4 linked regions of the Macaca fascicularis genome follow. The protein of the gene in region 2 purifies or fractionates together with the protein of the main gene of each other region. This does not show direct contact. Links are inferred from orthologs where the notes say so. Each region holds a gene or a part of one and is shown on either strand. Other genes may lie near its edges.

Region 1 (6,044 bases), on a different chromosome or scaffold from region 2:
ACATGTACCCCAAAATATAAAATAAAATTAAAAATTGAGGAACTGAAGCTACAACAAATTGTTTTATTTTGAAATACATGCCATGAATGTAACTTCATTCTATAGAAAGACATGACCTATCATGGATATATAACCCAAAGGAAATGGGCTTCTGTTGCAATATAAAGAATTTGAACTTAATATTCCTTAAAGAAAAAAAAAAATATTGTCAATAAAAACTTTAAAGGGACCAGAATGGTGGCTCACTCCTATAATCCCAGTTCTTTGGGAGGCCAACGTGGGAGGATCACTCGAGCTCAGGAGTTTGAGACTAGCCTAGGCAACACAAAGATCCCCATCTCTACAAAAAAATAAGAAAATTAGCCACACGTGATGGCGTGCATCTGTAGTTCCAGCTACTTGGGAGGCTGAGGTGAGAGGATCCCTTGAACCTGGGAGTTCGAGGCTGCAGTGAGCCTGGATGATGACACTGCAACCCAGGGCAACAGAATGAGATCTTACCTCAAAAAAGAAAAAAGAAAAAAAATACTTTAAAGGTAGAACAAGGACTCAATCTTCTCCGCAGGTTTAAAAAGAAAAAAGTTTTTCAAATGTCTAGAATGGCTTAGACTTGGCCTAACATTTGGCAATGAGGCAGAATCAGTTCAAAGGTCAGTCTGACCCAAAGGATTCAAATCCCATCTATGGGTCACACAAACAAAACATCAGCAAACTGCATCCTTCTGCTCTGCTGCTATCCAGTCCCAGCTTTAGTACTTGCCAACCTTACTCTGGAAATTACCCTAACTGTTAATTAATATGTCAATTATGGAGAATTATTCCTTCCAACTACTGAAACTTTTGCTTCTCAACAGCATTCTGCAGTCCTTTAATCTTGTTTTTCTAACATTACCAGAGAGGAAAATATTAATATTCTGTGATGTAATCAGTATCTTCTCTATTAACAATACCCTGTTCCACACTGTTCTATACAAACATGGATTCTACCCTGAATTTCAGAAACCACTAGGAAAATAACAGATAACAGAGAAATTAGAGCTCTTAGGTTTAACTTAGAGCCAAAATCAAAAGAGAAGAGACAATTCAGAGAGAGGAAGGAAGAAGCTGAGAGGGTCGTAGTGTAGAACACTTACTTTCAGGAACACAGTGTCCCTTAGATTTCTGGTGAGTTGCCCAGAGCCTCTTCAGTTTCAATCCAAATGACAATGCTTCTCTGAGTCCTCCTCAAGTAATGTTTCCACCACTAAAAATTGGATCTACAAGAGCTCGGATGTACCGGTTAAAAACAAAAAAAAAGTCAGGGGCCCCCAGGTGGGCCTCAAGCCTCTTTTAAACTAGGCCCACTTCTCTGTCCTGGGCCAACTCCCCTGTGTACTATATTCCTTCTTCTTCCAGGTGCCAGGTATTCAGCCTGTTTCTTCTCTTCTGAGCTGCCACCACCTACTCTATTTCTCAGGGTTCCTCTAATCCCAAGACTGGCTGTGGAGTAGGACACCAGCTTCCCCCCTTCCTTGCTGTCCCTGCAAATAAACATATAGGCTCTTCTAGTTTCAGTATTTTTCTAATGGCTACAAGAAAATAGAGAGGGAACAACAAAAAGCAATAATATATAGTACCAGAGATCAAGATTATAATAATTGTCTCCACTTTAATGTTCCTGCCTCCAAAAAACGAATTTTCTAAATATTGTTTACTAAGCATTTTAAAAAGCACAAAGTACTAACACGGATATACAAATACACTCTAAACCAACTCCAACCTTACACAGCCATTAAGATACTCTGCTTTTCAAAATACTTAAATCACAAAACACGGGTCCAAAAATAGTAACCACAATCATTTTAGCAAATACTTTTTTTCTTTTTGGAATGTTCTGTTGTAATCCCTTAAATTTAGCATGTCTAAAAGTTGGCTTTCTGAGCATAAAAAATGTTCAAAATATTTTATCCACTGTAAATGAGAATAAATGGGTCCAAAATTAGTAACCACAATCATTTTAGTATATACTTTTTTCTTTTTGGAATGTTCTGCTGTAATCCCTTAAATTTAGAATATGTTTGAAAATTTTCTTTTTGAATATGAAAAATGTACAAAATATTTTATCCATTGTGGGAATATACAAAAAGCATATAATATTTACAAAAAATAAGCATGTCAAAGCCAGCGAGCTTCACTGAGAAAATTTTCAAATAAGTTACTGTCAACCATTCCTGTCTCTACATTTCAAACTTAATAAAATTCTGTAGTGTTTTAAAAAAAAATCAAGATCACATTTTTTAGAAATCTAACGTCTACTGAATATTTGCATATGTCAATATCATATATGCCTTTTTTAAAGCAACAGTAAGATAGATTAGTATGCTTATTGTTATAGTTTAGTCTCTAATGAACTTTGTAACATCAAAATATATATCTTCTCTACATATTAAGTAATAAATCACAGGATTATATTTAATTCAAAGGGTACCTTCCTATAAAAATCAAGGAGCTCGATAACTAAGTGCTGACAGATTAAGAATGCCAGACTGAATTTCCTGGATGATTTTCTTTATCCACTTAATTCAAAGTCGTTTTTTAAAAAACAGAGTTATTATACTGCAAGCTTACAATAAATAAAGTCTGAAAATGGGCAGAGATCTTTTCATCTCATTTGTCTAAGAGACTGCCATTTAATCAAACTAAAGATATGCAGGTACTTTCAGTAAAAATCTGTTCCTGTGACTGGGCTCATCTCCAACTACTTATTTATAAAATATTAGAGAACTGGAATAAAAACACTAAATAAAACCTTGATCTGACCCTTCCAGAAGTCCATATAGAAAAGAAGTTTAATATATTGTGTATTCTGCAATCAGATAGTTTTCTTTTTTTAGGAACGAAATTAAATTACATCCTTTGCTCCTAAAGAGGATTTTATGGGTTTTCCTTGATCCCTACACACTAACACAACAATGCAGCCAACATTTTTATACCCAGAGTGGGGAGAGGGACATTACACACGGCGATACGAATTAAATCGCAGTAGCTAATGCCTCCCATAAATAATTTATTCTCTCTTGGCAGCAAAAAACCTTACAGCCTCTTCAATTACCCCTCACCGCAAACCATCGCCTGGGTTGCGATCAATGTGACCCAGTTCCTATCGCCACAGCCACCTCCGTCTCGCCTCCTCCCGCCGGGTCCGCGAATGTCATGGGACGGGGCGGCAGCCGCAGGGGCGTCCCCTGGTCGTCACCCCGCCAGACGGAGGCGCGCGGGGCAGGCCTGGGACTCACCGGGTGGAGGTGCCCTTCCGCACATCGCACATCATGCACTTGAAGGCCTCGGCGCTGTTCCGGAAGGTGCAGACGCTACAGTCCCAGTAACCCTCATCCGAGGACGGCTTCGGCTGCCGCTTCGGCCTGCAGGACACAACCCGGACACGACGCGGCGCGGGGTCACCAGCAGGCCGCGCCCGGCGCCCGGGCCCTGCGGCCGCCCCCGCCCCGCCCCCCGCCCCAATTCCGCGACCCCCGCCCGGCGGGCCCCCGGCGGGCCCTCGGCGCGCCGCGCTCCGGCTCCAAGGGGGAAGGAAGTCAGGAAGAGGCAGGGCGCGAGCCCGGCCGCACTCGCCGCCGCCACAGCCGCTCTGACACCCGGGCTGCCGCTCCGGTAGCCGCCGCCATCGCGGCTCCATTGTGGGGCGGCCGGCGCCGGCCCCCTCACGCGGCAGCACTCGCACACCAGCGGCGCCGCCCCCGTGCTCGCCCCGGTGCCCGGGCGGCGAGCGAGGCAGCCACCCGAAGCCCTGCACCAGGGCCCTGCCGCCCGCACAGTCCGGGCCCCGGGGCCCGGGCGCTGTTACCTGGTGGGGCTCTTCTTGTCTCCCATGGCTTGGCTATCAACGCACGCTGAGAGTCGCCGCCGCGGCCGCACTGTTTGTCAATAAGGAGGATAATAAGCCGGGCGGAAGCGGGCGGGGGAGGAGGGAGGAAGGGGGCGGGGAAGGCCGCACCGCCGCGCTCGGGAGCCGCCGCCGGATCCCACGCAGCCTCCAGCTGTCGGGGAAACTCCTGCCTGGGCGCACGTGACCCGCGCCCGCCAACCAGCAGCCGCGCCGGAGACTTCAAACGCGGCCAGCGCGGCCCAGCACCCGCGGCGAGTTAGCCGGCGGGCGGTGCGGAGGTGGACGCCTCGGCCTCGGGAGCCGGCGCCGCCTCACCGCACTGTTGCCCTGTCGCCCTCTCGGTACCCACGGCTGCCAGGGGCTGCCGCGCGCTCCAGAGCCCCTCTGAGGAGGAAAATATCTGTCCCACCGACTGGCTTGGGATGCTCAGTCATCCCGTGCGAAGCCTGGTCCAAGGTCTGGCATTCGGAGGCCTGTCCAGGTCTGGACAGAAGTGCCAGCCCGGGGTCTCCAGGTAGAACGACTTTCCTGGCCTCCGCCGTCCTTAGCTACTCAGTCCCCGCCTGCAGGACACCACGGGGAAGGCGGGAACCAACACGCAGCGCCATTGCTAGATGCCTTAAAGCGCTACACAGATGCTCAAACAAGTAGGGCTTGTCACCCCTAACTTAGAGGAATCGAAATCAAGACTCAAGAGAGGTTAGGTGACTTCCTCTGGGCTACATAATTAGAAAATGACAAAGCCAGGAGTCTAACTCTGCTCTAATTCCAAAGGCACCCTTTTGGCCTCTCAGGCCTCTGCAGTAGCTGCTTTTGAAAGAAACCCAATACATACTCATAAGGCCTTTTTAAATATAAGGAGTTTACATGTCCCCTCAACGCTGTCTGCTAACAAAAGAACACCTTCCCAGGTCTCTTTACCTCAATATACTAAATAAAGGTCCTCATACTCCAGACTCCAGCAACAGCCATCAAACTGGTCTCCGAAGCTCCACTTCCACCTCCCCAATCGATTCAGTAGTCCACAACCAGATGAATAATAAAATGCTGTTAATATTATGCCACCACTCTGATCAAGAACCACTAACGACTCCCACACTCCTTAGCCTGGCATTTAAAGGCTTCACACATTTTCCCTACCTCTGCATCCCTCTCCCATGAGAAAAGCTGCCTCCTGACAATGCACATGGGTTACTTCTGCATAAACTAGATCCCTCTTTAACAGTGCTGTTTCTGTCCATCTTTCTAGGTTTACATCAATTCCGAATTCATGTAAAATGATAATTTCATAGCTAAACTACAAAGGAAATGGTACAGTCAGAAGTCCAGGGTTCTCAGCCTGCTTCCCCTGTTTCTTAGCTGATAGATCTTGGAAGTATTGCTTAATTTCTGTAATTCTCAACGTTTTCATCTTCTGAATGGCATCTATATGAGATTGTTGTGCGATTAATAATAAAATAATATTTTTTGGCCAGGCGCGGTGGCTCACGTGTGTAATCCCAGCACTTTGGGAGGTGGAGGCGGGCGGATCACCTGAGGTCAGGAGTTCAAGACCAGCCTGGCCAACTTGGTGAAACCCCATCTCTACTAAAAAATATACAAAAATTAGCCTGGCGTGGTGGCGGGTGCCTGTAATCTCAACTACTCGGGAGGCTGAGGCAGAGAGAATTGCTTGAACCCGGGAGTCGGAGGGTGCAGTGAGCCGAGATCGTGCCACTGCACTCCAGCCTGGGCGACAGAGCGAGACTCTGCCTCTAAATAAATAAATAAATAATTTTTTTTAGCACTATGTGCCAGGCACTTTGTAAATCCCTGTACGTAGATACATATTTTAAAGGACTCAAAGTGCTATGCACATGGCCTCATTGACTGCAGATGCTCTTCGATTTAGAATGGGGATACTTCCCGATAAATCCATCTTAAATAAAAAATACCATAAATCGAAAATGCATTTGGTACACCGATAAACCCATCGTAAAGTAGAAAAATCGTAAGTTGAGCCGTTGTAAATCCATAGTCTAGCCCTTCATTTTAAAGACAAGAAAGTTAGGGCCCAGGTTAAATGGTTTTTCTTTAATGAATAGGCCAGGGTTAGAGCTCAGGTATCCTGAGACGAATGTCTTTCACCGCACCTTCTTTCTGATTAACCAAGTCACTC
Region 2 (4,464 bases):
AAATTAGCCGGGCGTGGTGGCAGGCGCCTGTAGTCTTAGCTACTTGGAGGCTGTGGAGAATGGCGTGAACCCGGGAGGTGGAGCTTGCAGTGAGCCAAGATCGCTCCACCGCCCTCCAGTGACAGAGCGAGAGACCCGTCTCAAAAATAAATAAATAAATTAGCTGGGTGTGGAGACACGCACCTGTAATCCCACCTACTTGGGAGACTGAGGCAAGAGAATCGGCTGAACCTGGGAGGTGCAGGTTGCAGTAAGCCGAGATCATGCCACTGAATTCCAGCCTGGGTGACAGAGTGAGATGGTGTCTCAAAAAAAAAAAAGTCTATTGTAAAAGGATTCAAGTCATACAAAGTTTGTCTTCTGACTGCAATGGAATTAGAAATCACAAACAGAAAGATATCTGGAAAAATCTGCAACTACTTTTAAACTAACACATTTGCAGGTAAGCTACGGGTCAAAGAAGAAATAGAAAGTATTTTGAGCTGAATGGAAATAAAACACATGAAAAATCTGTGAGATACAGCTAAAGAATTACTTAGAAGGAAACTGATGGAATGAAATACCTATATTATTAGAAAGGAAAAAAGTTTCAGATCGGTGATTAAGCTTCCACCTTAAACTAGTAAAGGATGAAATTAAAGTAAACAGAAAAATGAGAATATTAAAGGGCAGAAATCAATGAAATAGAAAACAGGTAAACAATAAAGTCAATGAAACCAAAACCTGTTTTTTAAAAAGAGATCAATAAAGTGTAGTGCTTTAACTGCTTATTTTTGAACTCTTTAAGTGTGGACAAATATTTTTGCCAAGACCTGATGTGGTATTTGTGTGCATGTGTACACACATACACAACAGTAGTGGCTGTTATTTAACATTTGAGCTAGTATAGTTTGGTTAAGGAAGCATAGGGATGCAACATTATAGAGGTGTAACAAAGAAGGTCACATAAAAGTCTTTCACAGAAGAACTTAAGAGTGATTTATTCTCCCTTTAATTTAAAATTAGCATTTTAAGCTTTATTAGATATGGAATGTCAATCATTAACTTTGGATTTAGTTTAAAACATCAAGTATACTTTAAGGAAAACAACTGTCTCTTTACAGGCTGCAAACTACTTAGACATCAAAGGTTTGCTTGATGTTACATGCAAGACTGTTGCCAATATGATCAAGGGGAAGACTCCTGAGGAGATTCGCAAGACCTTCAATATCAAAAATGACTTTACTGAAGAGGAGGAAGCCCAGGTAGGTAGCACAAAGTTTTGTCTTTGATCACATGCTCTTAAAAAGGGACTAACGCCTATAACATGCCAGGAAAAGAGGTGACTGTATCAAGTAGTCTTGATACTTCAGGGATAATATGTACTTTATGTGTCTTAAACATATTCTTACTGGTCTGTCTTTATGAATCTGAACACTTAGGTGATACTGCATTTTAAGCATAAGAACAATTAGTTTTCAATGAGAAGAGCTCTAGTTACTGTATTAACAGTTACCAGTTTTGGCACCTGCAACTTTCTGTATAGACCATACATATCTGACTTCAGAAAAGCAAGCCCTATAGAGAAGTGTATGCTAGGGTACTTTAGAGTAACTTAATGAGGGGAGGAAATGAAATAATAGATCAGAATGATTTTGTTGACATGACTACAGACTGAAATTATGTGACTGAATTAACTGAATTTGCTCTGTCAACTTTAGTGAATTGCCCATTGCCTTTGCTTTGTTCATAATTTCAGCAGGGCAGAATAAAAACCGTGGGAGGCAAAAAAAGGAAATCCGGAAATATAGTCTTAATCTGATGTTATTCTAATTTTCCATGGGTTCTCAGTTCTGACTCAACTCACTGGCTATTGATGAATCAGTAGGTATTATTTTAAGTCTTAGGAAAGACTACTCAAGTTAAGGTACTTCCTTATATTCATCTCTTTTAGGTACGCAAAGAGAACCAGTGGTGTGAAGAGAAGTGAAATGTTGTGCCTGACACTATAACACTGTAAGGATTGTTCCAAATACTAGTTGCACTGCTCTGTTTATAATTGTTAATATTAGACAAACAGTAGACAAATGCAGCAGCAAGTCAATTGTATTAGCAGAATATTGTCCTCATTGCATGTGTAGTTTGAGTATAGATTCCAAACCTATGGCTGAGTTTCTTTTAGTATGATCGAAAGTTTCTTTTTTCTTTGCTCTGAATAAAACTGAACTGTGGGTTCTCTGTAAGTGGCATTTTGGGCTTTCCCTCTTTTTTGTAAAGCAATTTCTGCCTAGTTTATTGTCCAGTTAACTTTAGTGACCTTTTGAAAGTTGGCATTGTAAATAAAACAAGTTGCAAAAAAGTTTTTTGGAATAGAATTAACAAAATATTCTCTTTATTCATGAGTTGGAAACTGGAAAAAGGCTTCTTGAGGTAAATGTTCTGAGTGGAATTACTAGGATGTCTTCCAGCCTCCTGCAGTCAAGGAGTACCACTGTATTAGCCTGTATGTAGCAGGGCTCCCTTCATTGCATCTGAGGACTTGTTTTCTTTTTCTTTAATTTTATTTTTAATCCTCTTAGTTTTAAATATATTGCCTAGAGACTCAGTTACTACCTAGTTTGTGGGTTTTTGGGAGAAATGTAACTGGACAGTTTGTTAGCTTTTCAATTAAAAAAGACACTTAACCCATGTGGGATGTCATCTTTTTATAATCAGTGTTCCCACGTGGGGAAAATTATTCACACTACTTGCATGTAAAAAATAATTTAACTTTTATCATTAAAATATGTGGTAAAACCCAGAAAGCATCCATCATGAATGCAAGATACTTTCAATAAAAAGTAAGTTGTATAGTAGGTAGTTAAGTTTGCTTTTGTGGACTTAAATGTGTCTCTTCACTTAAATGGGTTGAAAGTGTATATATATTTGTTTAGCTTGAAAAGAGTTCATATCCTAGCTCACTGGAGGCTGCTGACATAACCATAACTTCTGTCCCTTCTAATTGTCATTTATATGCCTAACTGGAGCTAGTACTTTAATTTTTTTTTTTTTTTTTTGAGACGGAGTCTCGCTCTGTCGCCCAGGCTGGAGTGCAGTGGCGCGATCTCAGTTCACTGCAAGCTCCGCCTCCCGGGTTCCCGCCATTCTCCTGCCTCAGCCTCCCGAGTAGCTGGGACTACAGGCGCCCGCCACCTCGCCCGGCTAGTTTTTGTATTTTTAGTAGAGATGGGGGTTTCACATGTTAGCCAGGATGGTCTCGATCTCCTGACCTCGTGATCCGCCCATCTCGGCCTCCCAAAGTGCTGGGATTACAGGCTTGAGCCACCGCGCCCGGCCGTACTTTAATTCTTAACACATTACTCTGTCATTGTTTCCAGCTTCTCTCCTACAATAGAATGAAGTTTTTTTATGGCTTGAGATGGCTCACAAATTTTGATTTTTTTTTCTTCCTTGTGCTCCCTTTTTTTCTCCTTCCTTTTCCAGTTGACATCTATATTCGTATGTAATCTTGTTTTCTCTTCACATTCACTGAATTGTTGAGGCTCAGATCATCCCTTGACAGTAGTTTGCCTTCATCTCACCTTTCATTTGTCCCAGATTCACCTAAGTCCCATATGTTGTCTCACTTAATTCCAATTTGTTGTCTGTACCAGAGATAGGAAACTATAACGTGTGTGGGTCAAATCAGGCCCATAGCCTGTTTTTGTAGTCTTTGAGCTAAAAATGGTTTTTGCATTGTAAAGGGTTGTTTAAAATACACACACACATACACACACACACACACACACAAACAGAAACTGTATTTGACCAAAAAGTAACATATTTTGGCCGGGCGCAGTGGCTCAAGCCTGTAATCCCAGCACTTTGGGAGGCCGAGATGGGCGGATCACGAGGTCAGGAGATCGAGACCATCCTGGCTAACACGGTGAAACCCCGTCTCTACTAAAAAATACAAAAAACTAGCCGGGCGCGGTGGCGGGCGCCTGTAGTCCCAGCTACTCCGGAGGCTGAGGCAGGAGAATGGCGTGAACCCGGGAGGCGGAGCTTGCAGTGAGCTGAGATCCGGCCACTGCACTCCAGCCTGGGCGGCAGAGCGAGACTCCGTCTCAAAAAAAAAAAAAAAAAAAAAAAAAGTAACATATTTTACTATCTGGCATTTTACAGAAAATATTTGCCAGCCCCTGTGACTACTTTTGGATTCCTGGTTCCCGTTATTCTTAGGAGATAAGCTTGTTTTCTCTTTGTCCTGGTTTTAGTGGGAAAGGTAGCAGTGTACAGTCCTAGCTGAATTGTCTCATCTACCAATTCCTGCTATAAGATCAACTTCTGCAAAAACCTTATCCACCTCAAGTATCCTTAGCAGTTGGGCATGGTGGCTTATGCCTGTAATCTCAACATTTTGGGAGGACAAGGCAGGAGGATCATTTGAGCCCAGGAGTTCGAGACCAGCCTGGGCAACACAGGAAGTCCCTGTCTCTCCAAAAA
Region 3 (6,078 bases), on a different chromosome or scaffold from region 2:
ATAAAGTAGGAATTCTGATCCCATTTTACAGATGAAGAGTCTTGTCTGTCTACTCAGTTAATAAATGACAAGCAAAGATTCAAATCCAGTTTGACAGCTTAGACTGTCACACTCTAAACTCAAATTTTTACACTATACTACACTATTATTTAAATAAATAAAAATCAGATACAAGAAGCCCAGTAGACTCTGGCTTTCTATTCTTCAGTTCACCTTGCAGACAATCTAAAACTGCCTTTCATTATTCTTTATTAAATAATGTTCACTGGTGCCTACCCATTGCCTTAGAAGTGTGCATCCATGAGCCAGCTTTTCTTCACCCCTCATGTCTCATTCAGTTTAAATGCTATTGCCTCAGAAAGAACTATCTTGACCTCATACTCTAAATTAGGCCTCCATGTTGTTAATCTAAGTACCCTTCTTACTTTTTCTGACTCTTTTCATAATCTGTATGTTGACTGCTTAACATCCCATTAGGACAGGGACCATGTCTGGTTTGTTCATTAAGCCACCCAGCTTTGAACCCTGTATACCCAGAGACCAGCATTGTGCCTGTCAAACAGACACAATGATTCTGTAATCTTTTGCAGAATGTATAAATGGAATGAAAGAAATTAAATGAGAGTCAAGGATTTCCATAATCTGGCCCTACTGTACCTTCTCAGTCACAGTTTGCTTAAGTCAATTCACTGTTCCCTATGGAGGTCTCTGGCTCCCGCTGAGACTACAAATCCTACCCAGACTTTAATATTCGGCTTAAAACCCATTTCCACTTAGAGCCCTATCCCAGACATAACCAGCCTCCTCTCCACTTCTATTAGACTCCTATAGCACTTGCTCACCATGCTGCTATCCAGCTTTTATTATAAACTACTTTGGAGTGTTAATTTACTATTCATGCGGTTGGTCTTAGGTCTCATCTACACCTGCACTACACATCACAGTAGTCACTGGGCACATGGAGCCACTACGTACAAATCAATTTAAATTACATAAAATTTAAAATTTGGTTCCTGTCCATATTAGGGACATTTCAATTGCTCAATAGCTACCATGGCTAGTGGCTACCATAGGGAACAGCACAAACATAGAAAATTTCCACCATTACATAAATTTCTGTTAGTGCCTTGGGTTCAAGAACTGTATTTTAAACTTGTTTCACATAGTAAAGATGGTACCCACAACACCTCATAAACAGGGAGAGTTCAATATTTAATAGAAAAAACAGTAACTTGCTGAATAAGATAATTTTAACATGACTATTTACATTGTAAACTGTTGTCTTCTACACTAGCACAGGGTCCATACACTAAGTTAAAGACTATCCCTAGGTCAAGTTTACCGTTTTAGAGAATCCGATATGATTATCTAAGAGTCAACCATAAAAACAGCATTTATATAGTATTATCCAGTTTATAAAGTGCTTCATATTCACCAATTATTTGGCCAATATATTTTTGGTGAGGAACAGAGATTCAGGGAAGGTCTAATATTTATTGAGTGGCAACTAAGTACCACTGTGTGAGGTGATTTTCCTGTGTTCTCATCAGCCTCACAAGATCAAGAGGACACTGAGGCTGAGAAGGTACCTATTCACATCATACAGTAACAACACCCATATCTCACCACTGCATCCTCAACTCCTTCTGGCTAAATATTTCTACATAAACAAACAGTGTATTTAATGAAGTAGATGTTGGCTAATAAAATTACAACCGACCTTAAGTTTGGAGAAGGAAACTTTTATAATACTGAATTAGATACAGTAAAGTTAGATACAAATGTCACAGATAAACAATGCTTTTTTTTTAAAAAGAAAAGAAACACAGCCTCTTTATTTTGGGAGTAAATGGGCTAAATTAAGGGAAGAAAGTGCAGGCAATTTTCAAAAACCCAAATTATAAAGCACTTAAAAAGATGCATAGTAATATTATTGAAAATAGTTTTACTGTGGGGAATATGTACTCAAATATAGCTGATGACTAGTATTAAACAGTGAGGTAAGCTATTCAAATGTTTAAGATCCATATTACAAATCATTTCATTATTCCGAATATCCAACTTATCTCAAAGTTTTAAATCTCGAATGAGCCAAACCCTTATTACTAATAAATTATACATTGAGAATATATTGATGAGGTTTCACAGTAGAAAAAGGATTAGGGAGGGGCATTAAAGTCCTTTAAGAGTTTCCGTAAATGTGATCCACAAGAACTGGGACGTGTTCCAAACTGCACTGTTAAACTGCCAAGCCAATGAACATTCAATCTTGGTTTCTTCAAATATAATGATGCTCTTTTAGTCTACCTCAAAGAAGAGAACATAAGATGATTACGATATTTTTTATTAGACTTCTAATCTCTGCTGTAATTTCTTCTAGAAAAATAATACCAGTGATGAGAAAATACACTCTTGATTTGTCCAACTTTTTTTTTTTTTTTTTGAGGTTGTCTCTTACTTGCACTAAGGCTCCCATTCTCAAAAAGAAATCGAAAGACTGATATACAGCAAGGCATCAAAGCATTCTTTAGAAGGCTCAGCAACCACTATGGATACTGCCAGGAAATCATTCCAAACACTCTCATTTTGAAAAAGGCAGCAGTCATAAGGGGGAGGGAAGTGGATGCTGTCAGAGGTGGCAGGTGTGTTTTGAGGCCAGCAGTGTTTTGTTTTTAATGTGGCACAGTTGCACGTCTCCAATTCTGTGCCACAAGGGAGCAAACATCCGAGAGCTTCTTAACTCTTTTACAATCATCTCCTTGGAGGAAAAGAACACTTTGGTAAGATACAAGTTTGGCAACTTTTTTAGGCAGAAAAGCTGAACCTGTTAGAATACTTAAAAAAAAAAAAATTGAGTTCCAGTCTAAAGAATAAAAGTAAAAATAAACTCCAAAAACAACTAAAGTGAAAATAATGCAGAACTGAATGCCATGTTTCTTTTCTTTGAGGAGGAAGAGGTATGGGAAAGGAGGTACACTGTTGCTTCTTCCCTACACCTTTGTATAATGGAGATCTCTCTCTCTAATAGTTTTCTTTTCACTTGTTACACAAAAGCAAAGTGTTACAAAAAGTAGACTCTTGTGGTATCTTCCAAGAGTACTTCAAGTAAAGCGGAAGAGATACATGTGTCAGTTCTGCAGTGTCCCGTTAAAGAGGGCAGCAGTGCTGGGATAAAAATGAGTTAACATGCTCCTTGTAACTATGAATCCGCTTATGCTAAAAAGTATCGAGGTTTCATTTGCATTATCCCAGACTCCACACCGCGCCCACAGACGCTTCTCTTGAGAATGCTCCGTTCACCTTCAAAACACAATGTTTTATCGGAGTCAATTTACAATTTTGTGGCAAGTAAGGCGAAAGTCAAAAGCAGCCTCAAACCACCTTTAGTTAGTAAACTGAGGGGTTTAGGGCTCATTAAGACAAAGACGATCGGTTACCCCCTTGCCAATGACCGGGATGAATCTCAAGAGTTGTGTTTACAAGGTATGCACAGACCCACATTGTTGCGTGCGCCCGTGTACCTTAAACAGAGGAAGGATGTGGACCTACGGGGGAAGTCTTTGGAGTTTCGTGAACTCCTATGAAAAGGTGGGAAGGGAGAGAGAAAGTCGTTCCGTTTCGATTTTTCGAGGTCACTTCTAGGGACTCGTCCGCCAGCGCGTCCCGGTAGCGGAAAGCCCGGCCAGCGGCGCCCGACACGGCTCTGCCTCCTCCCTAGAAGGGCGCGTGGGCCAGGACCCGTGGTCAGCCCGCCGCCCGAGGTCGGGTGGACGCTTGGCCCCGCCCCCGCCCGCTCCCGACGACCCTCGGAGGTGGCGGAGGCGCGCGACTCACATGTGCGGGTTCCTCCTGAAGGCGTTAGTGATGTCCTTCACTACCCGCTGCACCAGCACCGCCACTTCCTCGCTGGTCTCGGCCATGTTGGCGGCGGCCGCGACTGTTCGGGCGCGCCTCCGCGTGAGCCTGGCCGCCAGCAGGAGTTCCGCGGAGAGCGCGCGCGCGGGTGCGCCGGCTAGGCCGCGCCCCCGTCGCCGCAGCCGCCGCCGAGCACTTCCGGGTCAGCCTGTCGGCGGCCTGGGCGTGGCGTTAGGTAGGGCTGGTGGCCTCCCAGTGAGTGGAGGGGTTCGCCTCCGCGCGAGTAACGGACTTTCTAAGCGTCAGAGAAGATGCTGCACGTGTGTTTGCAAAGTTCTCACAGGCCGCCGATTTTCTTATTTTAATTTTTAGGCCACTCGGGACCGAGGAGAAAGGGAACCTCAAGACACACTCCACGAGAGTCAGACACCTGCCTGAACACCCCTGGCCAGGTCCGCGGGCACTCTTGAAGGAATGTTCAACTGAGGGTGCAGGGCCTCTTAACAGTTAGTCTAGTCCTGGGCGTTTTTCAGAGCTTGTCCGCTTTATTTTCCCAGCCAGAGAGATGAAGAGGTCCAGAGGCGTTGCGGCGGAGCGAGTCCCTATTTGACCGCATTGGTGACCTCCTTTCTAACTGTGCCAATTTTGGTCTCTGAACCTGAAAGCAGCCCTTTTTAAAAACATTAATTAAAATTCTTAAATTTATTAAAGGAAGACAAAGGAAAGTGAAGGAAAAGTTATTTGCCATCTGGATGTAGGAAGTAGAAATGAAATCGTTTTTAAATTTTTCGATTTCATTTTCTACTACATTTGGTAGCCTTTGCGTCAATTTTGGAATTTAAAAAAAAGTATCAAGACTCTGACAGGGTTTGCTCATAACAGCAAAAATAAATTTTTGTAGGAAAAACGAGCTTTCTAGTTTATTTAGGATTTTGAAATGCCATAACTAAAATTTGTGTGTATCCGGTTTTCTTTTGCTCCTCTGTGGTAGAAAAATCTGGCTGCCTTTAGTTCAGTTTTATTCTTCCACCCGTGAAATCTGCATCTTTGGCCGGGTGCGGTGGCTCACGCCTGTAATCCCAGCACTTTGGGAGGCCATGGCGGGCGGATCACGAGGTCAGGAGATCGAGACCATCCTGGTTAACACGGTGAAACCCCGTCTCTACTAAAAATACAAAAAAAAAAAAAAATTGGCTGGGCGCGGTGGCTCAAGCCTGTAATCCCAACACTTTGGGAGGCTGAGACGGGCGGATCACGAGGTCAGGAGATCGAGACCATCCTGGCTAACACGGTGAAACCCCGTCTCTACTAAAAATACAAAAACTTAGCCGGGCGAGGTGGCAGGCGCCTGTAGTCCCAGCTACTCGGGAGGCTGAGGCAGGAGAATGGCGTGAACCCGGGAGGCGGAGCTTGCAGTGAGCTGAGATCCGGCCACTGCACTCCAGCCTGGGTGACAGAGCGAGACTCCGTCTCAAAAAAAAAAACAAAAACAAAAAGAATTAGCCAGGCGTGGCGGGCGCCTGTAGTCCCAGCTACTCTGGAGGCTGAGGCAGGAGAATGGCATAAACCCGGGAGGCGGAGCTTGCAGTGAGCCAAGATCGCGCCACTGCACTCTAGTCTGGGGGACAGAGCGAGACTCCGTCTTAAAAAAACCAAGAGAAAAAAAAAGAAATCTGTATCTTAAAAAACTTAAAAAAAAAAAAAAAAAAAAGAACAAGTTCATGGTGTGTTTAATGTGAACATATGCGGAGCATTTGTGGTCGTTTTTATGATTGTAAAACTAAAAACTATCCATTGCATGTAAAGTGAATGAGAAATATAAACGAAAAATATAAATTTACTATACTCAGTGGTCAGTATTTCCTGTGGGTATGTTTATAAAGGCTGAACTTGGCCTTCTAGTTGCAAAAGAAGTGAGATAGGATCAGGCGCAGTGGCTCACACCTGTAATCCCAGCACTTTGGGAGGCAGAGGCGGGAGGATCACGAGATCAGGAGATCGAGACCATCCTGGCCAAGACAGTGAAACCCCATCTCTGCTAAAAATACAAAATTAGCTGGGCATGGTGGCACATGCTTGTAATCCCAGCTACTTGGGAGGCTGAGGCAGGAGAAGCGCTTGAACCCGGAAGGAGGAGGTTGCAGTAAGTGGTGATCGCGCCACTGCACTCCAGCCTGGCAACAGAGCAAGACTCCATCTTAAAAAAAAAGAAAAAAAAAAGGA
Region 4 (6,095 bases), on a different chromosome or scaffold from region 2:
GCGCCTGGCCAGGTGGCGCTCCGGAGAGGAGAGTCCTAGGGACCAGAGCTGGAAGCGCCAGCCGATGGAGGTCGTGGGCAGGCTGCCGGGCCTGGCCTTAGGCATCTGCGTCAGGCAGAGGTGGTCAGCCCGGCCGCTAGCCCGCTGCCACCGCCTGCTGCCCACAGCGACGCTCCTACCTGGGTGAACAAATTCTTCAGGGCTGCAGGCCCAGGAAGGAGCAGGAGCTCATAGGCGACTGGCAGGGCAGCGAGGCCAGGGAGCGGCCCAGGGTGGACCGCGCACGGGTTCTAGAAGTTCTGGGCGGGTTCTAGAAGGGGCCGCTCTGTTAACCACCTCCTAGGGAGTCCGGGGTGAGGTCCTGCGGTGGGCATTAACTTCTTGGCCAGTCCATCCCCTGGAGGCCCCCTGTATGGCCTGTTCACAGTCCTCATCTGAAAGGTGGATGGATGGACATCCTAGGACTGAGCTGGAGAGAAATTTGCAGGCGGGGACCCCTCAATGAGCCCCACAGCTGGGCGGGGCCCCACCTCTCCCCCTACATGCAACCACAGACAAGCTCACCAGTGTTCCTGAGGGTGGAACACACACACTGGTGCCAGCAGTGGGCAGGCAAAGGCATGGCCACCTGCAGGCTTAAGAGCCCATGGGGCCATCCTGACCCCACAACACACAGGCTCTGGGTTGGCTGTAGCCCCAGTGGCTCCATCAGGTATAACCCGTTGCCCAACCCTACCCTGAGGACCACACACAGAGCTCCCAAAAACGTTTTATTAAAAAAAAATGCTCAAATATCTGAAATTGGGCAAAGGTAGGGGGTGGGCAGGCGGGCTGAGGTGTCCCAGGTCTGTGGCTGCCTAGCTGGGCAAGGGGCTGGTGAGCAGCTGCTCCAGACACCACTGGACTTCCTCCAGGCCCCGGTAGGCCCGCTTCAGACCCCGGGGAAGGCAGCGGCAGGACTCCAGGTTGAGGTAGAGCAGGCCTGGGCAGCTGCTGATCACAGAGCTGTGGGGAAAGCAGGCCACAGGAAGTTGAGCTGTTGCCCCAGAAGGGCTGGGCCAGGTTAGGGAGCTGTGCCTGCTGGTGTTCCACACCTGGCTCTGCCACCCATAGCCACCAAGACCAAGCTCAGTTCCCCTGGTGTCCCTAAGCCCACCCCACGCAGGGGCTTGGACAATATGCATGCCCTCTGACCCCTGGAGCTCTCAGGCCAGGCAGGACACCACTTCCAGGCCCCAGGCAGATGCGGTGACAGCCACCCTGGCTCCAGGGACTGGGGTTAGGGATGCTGACCTGACCGTGCTGGGTGTGACCCGGGTGCCCCTGAGGTTAAGAGAGCACAGGGCTGGGTGTGAGCCCCCAGGGGTGCTTAAGAAGGCAGCCAGGGCCTGCTCCAGGTCCTTCTCACTGAAACCCTGGCCACTCAAGTCCAGTTCTCGCAGTGTATGGCACCACTTCTGAGTCAACAGGGGGCTGCCCTCCTTGGCTAGAGTCAGCCGGTCTGACGTGCCATACAGGCCCAGATGAAGCTGCTCCAGCTCTGAGGTGAGAGGAGTGAGCATAAGCTACAGGGCGACAAGGACTCCCACAACTCACCCGCCCGGCCACCACCCAGGACCGCTGACCCTGGCACAGCACAAGGGTCCCCACACCTCACCCATTCAGCCACCACCCACACCTCACCTGCCTGCCCACCACCCAGGACCATTGACTCCAGCATGGCACAAGGGCCCCCACACCTCATGCGCCTGGCCACAACCCAGAACCACTGACCCCGACACGGCAGATCCTGAAGGCCAGCCGGCGTGATGCGCGCACAGCCACGAAGATCTAGTAAGCGCAAGTTGGGAGAGCCGTGGAGTAGGCGGCCCAGGACCTCGTTGCTTACAAAGTTGCAGGCTGAGCTCGCCAGGCAGAGTTCCTCCAGGCTAGGGAAGCCTGGTCCGGGAGCCACCCCTCGTCCCAGAGGCTTGGGCAGCCACATCAGGTTCAGCAGCCGCAGCACCTGGGGGCAAGGCCCAGGCTGTAGATAGGGGAGCGTATAAAAGGTGGGAGAGGCAGGGCGCCAGGTACCTGGAGCTGGGGGCAGCCTTTCTGCAGAGCCTCAACAGGCAGCTGAAGGGGAATGCTGTTACGGTTGATGCCGCTGCTCACCTCCAGAACCTGGAGCTGGGGGCAGCAGCTGCCCTGCAGAGGTGCGGGGGAAGGGGGTCACAGGGTCAGTGGCCTGGCAGTCCCCGGCTCAGCATCTGCCTCTGCTCCCACCAATGCCAACCTACCAGCAGTGCACCCAGGATGGCTGTCGTCTGGGAGCTGTAAGTCAGCCACAACTTGCGCATTCGGGACCCTGCCTCCTCCAAGAAGCTTACCACAGCTGTGGACTCCACCTAGGGTCCCAATACAAGAGCACCCGTCACCCCAGCCTGGGCTTTTTCAGGGCCCCTTGGGACACAGGGCTCACCATGGAGTGCTGTAGGTCCAGGCTATGGAGCTGGCAGCAGGCTTTGGCTAGCATGACCAGAGCATCAGCAGTCACACCGTGGCAGCCGGAGAGCTTTAGGAAAGTGAGCCGAGGACAGGACTCGCCTACCAGCTGCGGGGAGACAGAGGGGCAGCTGGGGTTGGGAGAGGGCAGGCTAAGATCCACAAGGGAAACAAACAGGTGGCTGGTGCCAACCCCACGCTACCGCCTTAGCTGCGACCTCCTTTCTGCCCATGTCAGGCCTACTTGGGTGTCCCCGCCTCTGACACCTCCCTGCTGGAGGAAACAGCAGGAAAGGAGAACCAGGCAGGCAGGCAGGCCTCCCGATGGAGCAGCGTTGGGCCCTCAAGGTGCCTGACCCACTTCCTAGAGTACTCAACAGTCCCAGAGGGTCACAGCTGGTGTGCAGGGCAGCCTGGAGCTCTCACCTTCAGCACGGGGTGTACCTGAGACTTCCAGTGGATGAGGGTCAGCCTCTGGAGCTGTGAAAACCTGGGCCGACAGCAGAGGCAGAGCTGCACTAATGTTCCCACACGAGTCCTTCCCACCCAACACCTTGGTGCAGGGAGACAGAAGGAGCCTGGAGCCAGGGGACAAGGAAAAGAGGGAACCCCTCACCGATTAGGCATAAGCCACTCCAGGGAAGCAAGAAGCTTCTTCTCCGCCTTGACCCCGCCCTTGGCAGGCCGGCCGGCCAGCGGGGACGACAGGGTCACGGTGTGCCAGAGCGCGGGTTGGGAAGCGGCCTCCTGCCAGCGGCGGCACACGCGCGCAGCCCTGGGAGGACAGCGTGCTGAGGCTGCCGGCCCCTTCGTAGGTGATACCCCCTCTCGCAGCGCAGTGGACATCCCGGCTCAAAGCCGGGCTCCTGGGACTCCAACCGGGCGCCTAAGGGGCTGCGCTCTCGGGCGGAGGGGTGCGCGCTCCGATGCTTTCGCCCTCCGCCCCCGCCCGGGCCACTGCTCGGACCACGTCTGGCCCAAGTCGCTGCGCTCGGCGACGGGCCCGGCAGCAGCGTTACCTGCCGAGGAAGGGCATGGGCCCGTCCGCCGCCACCAACAACCCGAAAATCTGCACCAGGATTTCCAAGGGAATGCGGTCTCCCCAGCCCGCGTCGGGCCCTTCCTCGGGCGAGGGCGCCGGGTCGGGCCTGAGCGTGGCCTTGGGCTTGGCCGCGGCGCGGCCCGGGGGCGGCTGCCGGGGAGTGCGGCGGGCAGCGCGGGGAGTGCGGCGGGCAGCGCGTCGCTGTGCGCGGGTCCGGGCGGGTCCGGGTTCGGACAGCACCAGCAGCATGCTGTCGGACGGAAGCAGGTGGTACCCCGAGCCGCTCGGCGCCAGCCGGTCCCACCACCAGTCCTCGGCCGAGCGGGCCCGCGGCGCTGCCCGAGCTCTGCGCCGGACCTTCCGGGAGGCCGGGGAAGCCATGACCACCGACGGCGCTTGGGGCAGCTCCAGGGAGCGGAACGGGCGGGGCTTACAGACTGACACCCCCCGACTCTTCTCTGCGCCCGCCCGCTGACCCGCTTCCGGGGCGGGACTTCCGGCCGTGGGCCATGCCGGGGGCGGGCCCGGAGTCGCGGCGGGTGAGTCTGGTGGTGGCTGCTGTCGGGTCCTGGGCTGTCTGGACTGAGGCGGCGTCCCTGGGCCGGACGGCGGCGTCCTGGCGTGGCGGGAAGCCGGCACTAGAGCGGGAGCGCACTGGGTGCGGGACCGGGAGGCGTAGAGTCGCCCATCTGAAGCTGGTGAGAGGGCGGCGCCCCTACGAGCAGAGCCGCCCCAGCCACTCCCCTGGGATCTGACTTGGCTCCTGCGGTCCCGGGCACCGCGAAGCCCTGGGGCGTGCTTGGCTCCTGCTGGTAGGCGCCCTGTCCCAGTGTCCGGCTTGGGGTGGTGGTTGCAGTGACTCCAACCCCGCCTCTCCCTGGAGAGGAGGGCTCCACTCGCTCCTTCGGCCTCCTCCCCTGGGGCTGCAGCGACTCGGGCCGGCTTCCTGCTTCCCTACCTGCCGGCGGTCCCGACGCTGGCGGGCGGTGCTGCTGGGTACGTTTTAGCCAATCCTCCCCATCCCCACTCCTGCCCGGGGCTCCCCCTGTTCCCTTGGTCTCACCCTGTTGATTCCGGTTCTGTATCCTGCCTATTTGTCTGTTTCTTTCAAGCTAGAAGAGGTCTTCAGTTCCCAGAAGAGCCAAAGCGTCTCTGGACCTAGGTGGGAAAAGAACTGGCTGTGACCTTTGCCTTGACCTGGAAGGGCGCAGCCTTGGACTGAATGGCAGCACCCACACCCGGCCGTCCGGTGCTGACCCACCTGCTGGTGGCTCTCTTCGGCATGGGCTCCTGGGCTGCGGTCAATGGGATCTGGGTGGAACTACCTGTGGTGGTCAAAGAGCTTCCGGAGGGTGAGTGGGAGGAGGTGCAGGTGTGCCCAGGAAGGTGGGCCCTGTCAGTTCTTCTTCCCTTGGGTATCATGCCCCTGACATGGTCTCCTCCCTTCCCTGCAGGTTGGAGTCTCCCCTCCTACGTCTCTGTGCTTGTGGCGCTGGGGAACCTGGGTCTGCTGGTGGTGACCCTTTGGAGGCGGCTGGCCCCAGGAAAGGGCGAGCGGGTCCCCATCCGGGTGGTGCAGGTGCTGAGCATGGTGGGCACAGCTCTCCTGGCCTTTCTGTGGCACCGCGTGGTCCTAGTGGCAGGACAGTCGCATTCCGTGGCCTTCTTAGCACTGGCCTTTGTGCTGGCGCTGGCATGCTGTGCCTCTAATGTCACTTTCCTGCCCTTCCTGAGCCACCTGCCACCTCGCTTCTTACGGTCATTCTTCCTGGGTCAAGGCCTGAGTGCCCTGCTGCCCTGCGTGCTGGCCCTAGTGCAGGGTGTGGGCCGCCGTGAGTGCCCACCAGCCCCCATCAACGGCACCCCCGGCCCCCCACTCGACTTCCGTGAGCGTTTTCCCGCCAGCACCTTCTTCTGGGCACTGACTGCCCTTCTGGTCGCTTCAGCTGCTGCCTTTCAGGGTCTCCTGCTGCTGTTGCCACCACCATCTGTACCCACAGGGGGCTTAGGATCAGGCCTCCAGGTGGGAGCCCCAGGAGCAGAGGAAGAGGTGGAAGAGGCCTCACCATTGCAAGAGCCACCAAGCCAGGCAGCAGGCACCACCCCTGGTCCAGACCCTAAGGCCTATCAGCTTCTCTCAGCCCACAGTGCCTGCCTCCTGGGGCTGTTGGCTGCCACCAACGCACTGACCAACGGCGTGCTACCTGCTGTGCAAAGCTTTTCCTGCTTACCCTACGGGCGTCTGGCCTACCACCTGGCTGTGGTGCTGGGCAGTGCTGCCAATCCCCTGGCCTGCTTCCTGGCCATGGGTGTGCTGTGCAGGTACACAAGGGCCCTTCAGCCCCTGTGCGGGTGGAACTCAGGGCTGGGAGCCAGGTCCTGGCACAGTCAGCCCTGACACTCTGCTCACTCTCTACAGATCCTTGGCAGGGCTGGGCGGCCTCTCTCTGCTGGGCGTGCTCTTTGGGGGCTACCTGATGGCGCTGGCAGTCCTGAGCCCCTGCCCGCCCCTGGTGGGCACCTCGGCAGGGGTGGTCCTCGTGGTGAGCACACGGGACGTGAAGTGGGG

Evidence for each region.
Region 1: the proteins of SKP1 (region 2) and YAF2 purify together in Homo sapiens (affinity purification with mass spectrometry; 3 studies listed by BioGRID and IntAct, with this or other methods). This does not show direct contact. The link is inferred for Macaca fascicularis from reciprocal best matches to the Homo sapiens genes SKP1 and YAF2.
Region 3: the proteins of SKP1 (region 2) and PTAR1 purify together in Homo sapiens (co-immunoprecipitation; 3 studies listed by BioGRID and IntAct, with this or other methods). This does not show direct contact. The link is inferred for Macaca fascicularis from reciprocal best matches to the Homo sapiens genes SKP1 and PTAR1.
Region 4: the proteins of SKP1 (region 2) and FBXL6 purify together in Homo sapiens (affinity purification with mass spectrometry; 6 studies listed by BioGRID and IntAct, with this or other methods). This does not show direct contact. The link is inferred for Macaca fascicularis from reciprocal best matches to the Homo sapiens genes SKP1 and FBXL6.

What each region holds. Positions count from the first base shown.
Region 1 is NC_088385.1:48,807,485-48,813,528, forward strand, and holds the start of YAF2 (YY1-associated factor 2), read right to left. Parts: upstream 3,936-6,044; 5' UTR 3,871-3,935; coding exon 3,845-3,870; intron 3,402-3,844; coding exon 3,276-3,401; intron 1,521-3,275; coding exon of another isoform or gene 1,319-1,520; exon of another isoform or gene 1,129-1,318; intron 1-1,128. UniProt on the Homo sapiens protein: Binds to MYC and inhibits MYC-mediated transactivation. Also binds to MYCN and enhances MYCN-dependent transcriptional activation. Increases calpain 2-mediated proteolysis of YY1 in vitro.
Region 2 is NC_088380.1:140,678,017-140,682,480, reverse strand, and holds the end of SKP1 (S-phase kinase-associated protein 1), read left to right. Parts: intron 1-1,103; coding exon 1,104-1,244; intron 1,245-1,933; coding exon 1,934-1,969; 3' UTR 1,970-2,829; downstream 2,830-4,464. UniProt on the Homo sapiens protein: Essential component of the SCF (SKP1-CUL1-F-box protein) ubiquitin ligase complex, which mediates the ubiquitination of proteins involved in cell cycle progression, signal transduction and transcription.
Region 3 is NC_088389.1:100,449,752-100,455,829, forward strand, and holds the start of PTAR1 (protein prenyltransferase alpha subunit repeat-containing protein 1), read right to left. Parts: upstream 3,936-6,078; 5' UTR 3,921-3,935; coding exon 3,835-3,920; intron 1-3,834.
Region 4 is NC_088382.1:154,038,267-154,044,361, forward strand, and holds FBXL6 (F-box/LRR-repeat protein 6), read right to left. Parts: upstream 3,936-6,095; 5' UTR 3,908-3,935; coding exon 3,504-3,907; intron 3,260-3,503; coding exon 3,101-3,259; intron 2,975-3,100; coding exon 2,911-2,974; intron 2,594-2,910; coding exon 2,462-2,593; intron 2,388-2,461; coding exon 2,280-2,387; intron 2,188-2,279; coding exon 2,074-2,187; intron 2,024-2,073; coding exon 1,774-2,023; intron 1,566-1,773; coding exon of another isoform or gene 1,541-1,565; coding exon 1,294-1,540; intron 1,006-1,293; coding exon 858-1,005; 3' UTR 758-857; downstream 1-757. Other genes in the region: SLC52A2 (solute carrier family 52, riboflavin transporter, member 2), read left to right, coding at 4,036-4,224, 4,643-4,688, 4,981-5,848, 5,946-6,069.